Linked DNA regions of Arabidopsis thaliana. The protein of the gene in region 1 interacts with the protein of each later gene in a pairwise test. Each region holds a gene or a part of one and is shown on either strand. Other genes may lie near its edges.

The links.
Region 2: the proteins of CPUORF7 (region 1) and BNQ2 interact in a two-hybrid assay, tested with the Arabidopsis thaliana proteins (one large-scale study listed by BioGRID).
Region 3: the proteins of CPUORF7 (region 1) and KDR interact in a two-hybrid assay, tested with the Arabidopsis thaliana proteins (one large-scale study listed by BioGRID).

The regions. Positions count from the first base shown.
Region 1 is NC_003071.7:13,337,296-13,341,057, forward strand, and holds the start of CPUORF7 (transcription factor bHLH155-like protein), read left to right. Parts: upstream 1-1,791; 5' UTR 1,792-2,134; coding exon of another isoform or gene 2,135-2,231; 5' UTR 2,232-2,382; coding exon 2,383-2,480; intron 2,481-2,777; coding exon 2,778-2,897; intron 2,898-3,089; coding exon 3,090-3,171; intron 3,172-3,245; coding exon 3,246-3,287; intron 3,288-3,410; coding exon 3,411-3,470; intron 3,471-3,600; coding exon 3,601-3,720; intron 3,721-3,762. UniProt on the Arabidopsis thaliana protein: Transcription factor that may regulate root development.
Region 2 is NC_003076.8:4,920,728-4,924,477, reverse strand, and holds BNQ2 (BANQUO 2), read left to right. Parts: upstream 1-1,665; 5' UTR 1,666-1,924; coding exon 1,925-2,053; intron 2,054-2,835; coding exon 2,836-2,991; 3' UTR 2,992-3,235; downstream 3,236-3,750.
Region 3 is NC_003070.9:9,349,616-9,353,377, forward strand, and holds KDR (basic helix-loop-helix (bHLH) DNA-binding superfamily protein), read left to right. Parts: upstream 1-1,544; 5' UTR 1,545-1,955; coding exon 1,956-2,084; intron 2,085-2,703; coding exon 2,704-2,859; 3' UTR 2,860-3,218; downstream 3,219-3,762. UniProt on the Arabidopsis thaliana protein: Atypical and probable non DNA-binding bHLH transcription factor that regulates light-mediated responses in day light conditions by binding and inhibiting the activity of the bHLH transcription factor HFR1, a critical regulator of light signaling and shade avoidance.

The DNA.
Region 1 (3,762 bases):
ATTGTTTAGTGTTTAAGATTATACACTTGTAGTTTGATTGTTAATTTAAGAGTTTCACATGTAGTATACCATCTTGTATTAATATCGATCTAAACCCGTCAATTCTAGGATTTTTCAGCTTATATTAAAAATTGAATCACATCTAATATGTTATTAACTATTGTAATATATAAGATTATAAATTTTCAATATAATATGTATGAAATTGAATATGAATATTTCAAATTTATGTCCCCTTACTCAGTAGAAAGTTTTCTTAAATCTATTTTTCACCCGTTATAATATTATTTCATGTATTGAACAGTTTATATTTGTTTTTAAAAATTCAAATTATGGCATATGCGAAAAAACTCTAATTATTTTTTTATAATGATGATATTATTTTTCCGTATAAATAGAATCATATAAAGATGAGAAGTGAACTATAATAATTAATAAAAAATTAATATGATAATTTAGATACCAAATATAGTTTGTTGATTTTAATTGGTTACTTTTTTAGAAATTAATAATCTATTTCGTTTTTCTAATTAAATTAAATTAATTAAATTTAGATATCAAATCTTATATGTTGATTTTGATTGGCTATTATTTTTGGAAATTAATATTGTATTTCGTTTTTTAATTAATTTAATTAATTAAATTAGTATTTGACTTTTTAATCCTTAAAGAGATAAATTAATTTACTTTTTAAAATTTTATTTCTAATGGCATACCTATGTAATTACTTACAAAAATTAAGGTTATATTTAAAATGTACTTCCCAAATAATATAGTAGGATTGTCACTACGACTACGAGGGACACTTGCTAAATTTTCGGAATATTTTATCTTATGAATTAGAAGGAAAATTATTATGGAAGTTGTAATAAAACATGTACAACATTTTAAATATCATAGGTTTTTTATTACAAAAGTATTATATTTTAATAGTATATGGGAAAAACAATTGTCTCTTCAAAATTTATTCAAAATAAAAAAAAAATTAAACTATAGACGAATGAGCCTCGAAAACGCAATTCCTCAAACATTTTTTTTTACAATCTTATCCACCAACGTATGAGTCAAATCAAACAAATAGACACCTTAAAGTAAAGTATATACATAGTTCACTAATATTTTTGCTAGACGGTTAACCTCTTTATACATATACGAGATTCGAATTATCTACTCTGTAGATAAAATATATGATACAAACTTATCAAGAAAGACAATTGGGTTCGACTCACAAACTCTTGCCTTTAAGAATCCTACCACTAATTCCGCAGCTCTAGCCTCATCACTCTCTTCTCCCATGGGATATACAATTCATAGTAGACTTCCTACAACTTCGGTAAACGAGCCGAGTATACAATGTTTAGCGCACAATTTCCGCGGGAAATACAAAAAAGATTGTGATGTTAATGTGATGAATTTGTAATTAAACACACGATAAATTAGTGCAATGTGTAAAATATTTTATAAATTTGTGAGTAATGGGTAAAAAAAAAAGTAAAGAAGGAAGCAAAGTTCAGTTGGTGAATCATTTTGCTGGCCATTACTCTATAAGAGAGAGAGATCCTATCTCCATAAAATCCCATACCCTCAAACACACACACACTCACCATCCCACTAACTCGAATAGTTAACATGCGCACACCGATCCTTGGCCTTTCGTTGCTAAAATGAGCATGGTGCGTGATTCACCCGCTTACTTGCTCGATTTCTCCTTCACCCTTTTAAAAAGGAACGTCTTTTAGCTTACCTCTGCCTCCTTTACCCTCTCTCTCTCTCTATCTCTATCTCTGTTCTTTCCTTTTTCCGGCGAATTTCTGGGCTGAGATTGTTAGTGTCTCTGAGTGATGCAGAGATCAACTGTTGTAGTTAATCAATATCTTCTGACATAAGCTAAACTCGATTCTTTCTTACAATCTCTCTGTCTCTCTCTGCTTCCTTTTCTACTGTCTTCTTTCTTCTTCTCTAGCTTTTGAATTTTCAATATTGATTTCTCCCATGGCGAGTAGCAGTTGCAGCAGATCTATCTCTGTTTCAAATTCTGATTCTCTCGGTGTTTTTTGTTTGAGCTAGGGCTAAATTAGTTTCCTTCTTGGGTTTTTATTCGTAATCCGATTCAAAGTTTGTATCTTTGGGAGGGATGGGTAAGAGGCAAATATCACAAGATGAAGTAGGTCCGCCCATAAAACCAAGAGCTGGTTTACGAAGGGAACAAGCTGGAAGAGGTTCTTACAGAGGTAGTTAGTTACTTTGTATCTCATCGAAAACGAATCAAAAGAAGCTTCTTTTTTTTTTTATTAGAGGTTGGGGAGGAGATAGTATAAAACAACTGTTTAGAGTTCTGATTTGTGGTTTTTGAGTCCGGGGTTTTGAGGTTTACCCTTTAGAATGGGTTCTACTTCTCAAGAGATACTGAAGAGCTTTTGCTTTAACACGGACTGGGACTATGCTGTGTTCTGGCAACTTAATCATCGAGGATCTCGAATGTGAGTCATCTAAACAATTCTCTTTACTGTCTTTGCGTGGTGGATCATTATAATTGTCTACGAGTTAGAACTGTGGTAATTGATTTAGGTGTATTGACTTCAACTTGCTAGAGTGGAAATATGGAACCTTATATCGAAATGCAGCAGCTTTAAGTTAACAATTGTAGTTTAAGTGTCTGAAGATTGTTTCTGTACTTTTAAGTTTTGTGTGCAGTTCAGGATTCTATTTCTTTATATGTTTTAGTGTTTTAGTTGACCAGATAGTTTCTCAATTTTTTGAATAATGAACACCTGTAGGGTACTTACCTTGGAGGATGCTTACTATGACCATCATGGGACGAATATGCATGGAGCACATGACCCCCTTGGGTTAGCTGTGGCAAAGATGTCTTATCATGTCTATTCTCTAGGGGAAGGGTAAGAATATATTGCTCTGATTCACTCTTATCATGCCTATAGTTTGATGTGCCCTTTTTCCTTCTTTTTTTATTTGACAGTAGCCACATAATGCAAAGCTTTTGTTGTGTCCTTGAGCTTGATGTTAGCTTTTACAATAGTTAACAATCTTGGGTCTATTGTTGAATTATGTTATCATATCTATATAAACAGGATTGTAGGACAAGTTGCAGTTTCTGGAGAACACCAATGGGTATTTCCCGAAAATTATAACAACTGTAACTCAGCATTTGAGGTTAGGGACTTTCTATCTGAAATTAAATTTGTTTTCTTCGTGTTTTTAAACCAAATGTCTTTTTTTAATTACAGTTTCATAACGTTTGGGAAAGTCAAATTTCTGCTGGAATTAAGGTATTTGGATTTTTCTTTAGTGCTCTTTCTGTCTGCTTTATTATACATACTTGTCAAGAACATCCTCAAAGTTTGCCACTGGAGACTTTCCTTTTTAAAATATCTATTCTTCCTTCTCCGCAGACCATTCTTGTAGTAGCTGTTGGTCCATGTGGAGTTGTTCAGCTAGGCTCTTTGTGTAAAGTAAGTAAGATCTTAAAATTGGATGCGGTGTTCGCAGTTACAAAATAATAGCCAGGAAGAACACCTGCACACTTATAATAGATGGCACATATATACATATCTGGTCTTATTTTGTATTTGTTTGGAGCAGGTTAATGAAGATGTGAATTTTGTGAATCATATCCGACATTTATTTCTGGCACTTAGGGATCCATTGGCAGACCATGCAGCAAATTTAAGGCAATGTAATATGAACAATTCGTTATGTCTGGTAAAGATCTTCTTCATTCAAATATGGATTCATGTTTTTTCT
Region 2 (3,750 bases), on another chromosome or scaffold:
CCTATCATCACATGGGAGGTTAAACTGGTTCTTATTTATAACTTCAAAATATTAAAACATAAATAGTCCCACCTTTGTGTGCTCATCAGCAAACATTTTTCTTTAATGTCCAATTTATCACACCATCTCCTTGTTTTCTAATACATATCATACATCTACTAATCATCATTCATTCATATCTTTTGCATATATCATCATCTTCATCATCATCATCACGTGTTTAGATCTAGCAAATGGTTTGTTGTTATTTATGACCAAAACAACATTACCATGTAGTATTTATATAAATCCTAAATAAAAATTGAAACTCACTGATACAATTAAAATTAAAGTATTTGTACAAAATTACATATTGACGAATGTTAGTTGGAAATCACCTGTCTAAGTTTTTTAGAACAAGTGCTCAAAGATATTGGGTTCGACAATTGATGAAATTCCACTTAGGCATTACATATAAATAAATATCGTAAGCATATACACTATCAATTGAGGTACACGTGATCGAGCTTGGACTAAAAGTGTAAGACTAGCCCCTCCCTATTGGCTAGGATAGATACCGTACGTTCCCTCAAATTGACCTAAGTCCATTGTTTTTGTTTACCCGTATCTATATAACTGAACCACAAAATCTTCTTGGTTTTACGCATCACAACGATCATAAAATAATGATATACTCATATAGGTATATCTTGAGTATATAGACAAGCTTTACACTAGCTTGTATAATAAGATAAATAGAGTGGTGATATTTTAATGTTGCATTGTTTCAGTACTTGAAATCAGAATCGTTTCCCACTTGAAAAATTAGTTTCTCTTTGATCATAGCATATCTAACAAGACATATTAGTCGAGCTTTTGGATAGTTGTCGTTTGGTCTTAAAAAATAATGATACATTCTCACAAACTCTCACCGTACCTCAAGGCTCAAGCAAAGCTAGGACATGCTATTAAGGAACTGTAACTACTATAGCTGATTATCACAAAGTCTCACCTCAATATATATAAAGATTTTAATGACTAGAATAATTATAAGTTTTGAGATAAATTATCAATGTATCCAAGTGAAAGTATTGTTTGGTATTTTCTGTCAATCTAGATATTCATTTGCGAATTCCTAATTGACGAAAAATAACAGATATTATAATGTTACTAATTAACAAAAAATAAATCTTTGAAAAGATTTACATCATTGAAATACTACAATATTAAAAATATAATAGCATTATAATATCGACAATACTTATAATACTCATATAATAATATAATAAGAAGATTTTAAATGTACATAATACAAATTATTGCAAAAAGATTTCCAGTAATAGATACTAAGTTCTACTAAAGTTTTTGAAACTTTTTAGGAAAAGCAAGATTTTGTTGGAGACTTTGGATTAATGTAATTTTCAAAAGAGAAGAAGATGGTTTTTTTTTTTCTGAATATAAGAAAATAGAAGATATATATCTATCTTCGGTGTATTTATTGTTGATAAATATGCTGTCTTTTTTTAAAGTAAATAGATAAAAGTTAGACAGACTTTTTTTTTGTCTTATGTATCTTTTTCTCTAGTTTTTTATAAATCAACTTTAAATTAATCATCAAATAATAGTAATATTAGACACATATATACATCACGATCTGATAAATTTGTAAATTCACGTGTCATGTATCCAAGACTCCAATTCTAAACCACTGTTCTCTCTTGTGCACTTGTCATCGGCATATCCAACACCCCTATTTAAGATTATTTGTATTACTCTCGCTCTCTCTCTCTCTCTCTATCTAGAAGTGGTCCTAGCTCTCTATATAACACCATTTCTTCTCCTTCTTTCTTCTCCCTTTCTTTCGACAAGCACAAACAAAGCCATCAAGAGAAGAAAGCCTTTTCTTGGATTCACATATATATAAGAATATTTTTTCAAATCAAACATGTCTTCTAGCAGAAGGTCGAGACAAGCAAGCTCATCATCAAGAATTAGCGATGACCAGATCACTGATCTCATCTCAAAGCTCCGACAGTCCATTCCGGAGATTCGCCAGAACCGTCGTTCCAACACGGTAAATCTTTTCAAAAGTTACTGTGTTTCTTCTATGTACCAAGGTTTTGGCATAGTCACATAAGTTTTACTTTGATGATATTTATTTAGGGTTAGCTATTATGTTTAATAGAGAATCACGCATATACAAGTATACAACATGTTAGAATAGTGCATTATAGTCATAGAAGTACGTGTGGGAGACTGCATTTTGAAGTTTCTAAAATTACTTTTGACCATTAACCGGACTTTGAGGAGAGGGGAACATATTTTCCCTAACTTCAGCATTAAGCTTCTAGTTAATTTTACTTTTATTATTGATTAACTACATTGAATGTGAGACGACTATATTGCTTCACGGACCATCAATTCAATACATTTATGTACAGCACCGACTAATTTTTATATTTGGTTTTCTTAGTTTCTATATAACAAGAAAAGTACGAACTCTAGAAAAATAAGAAAAAGCTGGTTTCTATAAATGGAAGCATCGTTTTCTTATAGTACACACAACCAATCAGATTTGTTCTCAATTTCAAAACAATGTGTTGGTTAAGTTATGAGCATTTTTATTTTTTTGATAAAGTATGGGCATTTTATCTTAAGCTTTAGGTTTAACTTTTAACCTATGCATAGTGTAGTATGTCAAGCAACTAGCGTCAATATATTTTCTTACATTATTAACACGCATCATAACTTCAAGCTAAGACTTGTTTCTGTTGTTGTTAAAGCAAGCTAAGACTTGTTTGAATATTTATATTGAATCCTTACTATAAAATGTACAATTGTGAAAATTGTTTGTAGGTATCAGCGTCGAAAGTGTTACAAGAGACTTGCAACTACATAAGAAACTTGAACAAGGAAGCCGATGACCTCAGTGATCGATTGACTCAGCTTCTGGAATCCATTGATCCTAATAGCCCACAAGCCGCAGTTATTAGGAGCTTGATTAATGGATAATTAAGATATAAATTGATTAGTTGTGCTTTATATATATAAGCTTAAAATCTCGTTGGGAGGTTGATCCATCAGGGTGTTGCATAATTATATATCTATTTTATGTTTCTTATATATTATTTACAATCCTATCTAGTTAGGGTTCATATTTTGACCCTTTTTTGGTTTAACGTCATGCATGCAATTCCATTAAGCTTAAAAATTATAATAAATAAGATTTCGAGTAATTATTTAATTTAAATCCTTTTATATTATATTGTAAGTGTGTCCATTTGTATGTGTGTTAATGCGTTATACAAATGGATATACTATATAAGTATATATGGCACCCAAGAGGTTAATTAATTTCAAAGTTAATTTAGACTTATCTTCGAAATAGATAGAAAAGTTGATTAATACTATCATTTAAAGCGTACATGATTATCAATTTTGCATGAAAACGTAATAGGATGACTCAAACCTACCAGACTCACATAAAAAATAATATCTCAACCATTATACCACTATACATTGTTACAAATTACAAACTACAGAATGAAACAAAATCTATATTTATTAGCTTCTCACATATTAAAAAAAATAAAAAATCCAACAAATGTTTTTGAAAACAGACCCATCGTGCATTATATTTGATAATAAAGATAACATTTACACTAGTTTGCTATAAAATTTAGTATTTAATTACCTACAATAATTTTACATATATATATATATATATATCTGTATAAAATTCCCTAAAATATTTGAAGGTTTAGAAAACAG
Region 3 (3,762 bases), on another chromosome or scaffold:
GAAAACAAAGAAAGAAGATTAATAGATCAAATCCGAGTTAAAGCAAACATCTACCACATAATAAATGCAATGCAAAATCAACGAACTGAATCCAATCGACAATCAAATGCCTATCTCTGCATCTACCACATGCTACGTACTCAAAATCAGATTTTTATGGAAGGTATTAAAAAAATCAGAGTTGTCAACTGTAATTACATCCAAAACATGATCCGTAATTTGGCTTCAACATTTTTTGGTGTTTTCTTGTACCATATGTCCTACACTCTTTTCATGATATAGACCACCACACTAAAGAAAAATAATAATTAATCTTATAAATGACAGTGATTTTTTTTCTTTTCACGATCATGTATAGGATAACAATCATATTATTTTCAAAAATATTTGGATGTTACATTACATCAAAGGTCAAACATGGATGTGTGAAGAACAAACTTATACATGTTCCAAAACCATTGAATTTCCAAAAAAAATCAATGTAAAAGTTTGAAAGATACAAAAAAAATGGTAAAAAAGAGAGAAGTGATTAAAAAAAGGGACAATGAAGTAATACATATAACGTGGGGATGCAATGGTGGTACTGACAGAGAGAGAAGGCAAAGAGGGACAGTTTAGTTTGGCGATAAACACACATTTTGCCATTTTAAACCCCACTTGATCCCTCTTCTCCTTTCCATGGCCCTCCCCTCCTTTTCTACGTCCCTTTCCCAATTCTTATTTTAATTCTTTGTTTTTTTCTACTTGGATGCGTTGAGCCAAAAATGTTGCAATGAATTAATTCTACTTGGCCCGATTTTGGAAAGCTCTGTAGCTTTGTGGACTGACTTTGATTTGGTTTTGATTTCAGAGAGTGCGGATCAATCCATTGTTATACGTGTTTGGATTTTTTTTTGGGTTTAGCCAAAATCGAACCGAGTGACTTGACTTAAGCATAGTTGTATTTTTTATTATATATATTTTTTTTGGTCCCATCACTAGTCACTGAAAACCTCTACAATATCCCTTAAGATAGGTTCTAATCGTCGTATCATACGACTCGTATGAGACGATACAAACACTCTTTGGTAAAGTATCACTATTGGTTTAGCACTGGATCTTAGTTATTTGATACCCTTTCTATTTAGTTTCAAAATTTGAATTCTCCATGTCACATTCATTATACAAACGTTTTTTGTTGAACAAATTTTACATTCATTCATAAAAACAAAAGAATACATTATCACAAAACATATATAATAAGATAAATTATTAAATAGAATTTTTTTAAAATAGACATACAATAAGACTAGTCGTCTGATATAGACTCTGCACATTATACGGACTTACATTTGTAAACTCCATCAACTCTTATCCATCTATTGTTTAGTCATGTTCAATATTGAGAAAAATTAAAGGAAATTAACATGTAGCCTTTAAATTTTCAATAAAGGTCGTTAAGTTGAAGACTTGAAGTTGATACTACACCATGTGAATAGCTCGAAAGAAAGAAGGTTAAGTGGAACAGGAATAAGAGAAAGAGAGCAAGGAAAAAAACTTGACGTGGGTGAGTTTTACACATATAACAATCAAGAAGTTGTTCTCGTGGGAAAGTAAGTTTAGAAGCTTACCAAAAATAAACAGTATCTTTTTGTACTAAGCGACTATGAAAAAAACTGAGAACAAATAATAATAAATATTTGAAAGCTAAAGACACCCTTATTAAAGAAACATAACCCACACCCTCCCTCCATGCACTTGTCTCTTCTCCTTCTTATTCTTCTTCTTCTTCTTCTTGATCTTCTCTCTCTTCATAAATTTGCATTATAAAAACACATCCACTTTGCTCCTCCCTCTTCAACACCTTCTTCTCCACTCTCATTCTCTCTTTCTGACACATTAACTACTTATCCTTCTTGCATTCTTCTCTCTCTCTACACCCAAACAAACACACTTATAATATATCAAGAAAGAAGATGTCTAGCAGAAGATCATCACGTTCAAGACAGTCAGGAAGCTCAAGAATCTCTGACGATCAGATTTCCGATCTTGTTTCTAAGCTCCAACACCTCATCCCTGAACTTCGCCGCCGCCGTTCTGACAAGGTATACACTTCAAAATAACAAATTTTAATCTATCTTTCTTGCATATACATACTTATTTTGTATACTTGTATAACTTAGCCTGCACATGGACTTAGAAAGTTCAAATGAATAGGAACCATATAGTATATAATAACTAATTAATATGCATGGTGAAATCCAACGGCGTGTAGACATGTGGCCTACAATTAACTATACGTAGATAAAGTAACATTAATTCACAGCCTCATTTATGCATATATCTTGTTTGTTCTTTGAATGTTTTTTTGCAATTAAATTTTACAAGTTGGTGGTGTGGGACTCAGTTTGTTCCCTTCCTACTTCCACGTACCTTAACTACATGTCTCCCCATTACTCTTCTCTACCTATATACTCACCATAATTCTATATATAGCTGAGGAATATGATAAATAAATTGTGGCCGTTTATACCGTTGTGCACATTGAAGTGGCAATCATGAGAAAAAACTAAAGTTCTGTTAAAAGTTTGAAGATATATATGAAATTGTTACAAAGAAAGAAAAAAGGCAGTAGCACATGTTGTCACGTACTCTTTGTAAGGGATATAATGATCGTTTTTTGTACTTTAAAACTAATTGTAAAATGTTTAAACTATTGGACAGGTGTCAGCATCTAAGGTACTACAAGAGACTTGCAACTACATCAGGAACTTACACAGAGAGGTTGATGACCTCAGTGACCGTTTGTCGGAACTCTTGGCTTCGACGGACGACAACAGCGCCGAAGCAGCCATCATTAGGAGCTTGCTTAATTATTAAATCCGCATTACTTAATCTGAGAGCTATTAATCATCCGTTTCCGGCCACCAAATTTATCTTATTATGGGTATCGTCTGTTTACTTCTACATCATATATTATGAGATATAGCTAGGGTTTCGGGTCATTGTTAGGCCAACTCATATATTTATATTTAATATATGGTTATGTATGTATGTATGCATGTTAATTGTATCTGAGGGTCCAGACCTGGCGTATAGTAGCCTGTGTATCATGAGATCCTCTAATATTTATGATTAATGACACGGTCCGTTTCCTTTTTTACTATACTGATCTACTGTTATAAGTTTCGTTTATCATATCTTTTTCTATAATTAACAAGCTGAGGAGATTATCGGTGTATGCTCGAAATTTCTTAGTTGAAGAAATTAAGAACAATATATGTGTATGCCAAATAAATAAGTTATACTTGGAAGTATGTCAATACAATTTTATCAAAAAAAATAAAATGGTATGTATATACAATTTAAAAACGTGGAGAAGTTGTGTCTGAATTTAAATTGTTTAAAATATGATAGAAACAGACGAAGACCTCGATGTTTTCGAAGTCGTTTAGTTTGGATTATCTGTTTTTTAATGTTATCTGTAGTATATGGTATGGTCGTGCCATTTTATTTAAATCCTCTTGCATGTGATCATTAATGTGTTATCTTCGTCGTGTATATTATAACACGTATTGACTCGATAATTACGGTATTAGTGTGGTGTTATTAATGGAGTAGATAATTTATGATTACGTGTTAAAAGTAAAATGTATTGGGATATAAGGTTACATACCTTTTCTTTGAACAGAGAAATTCTTGCGCCTGAAAGTTAAATATAATCATGTACTGTATCAGTTCCCGTTTTTTTTCGGTCATTGATTTTTTTTTTCGGGCAACACA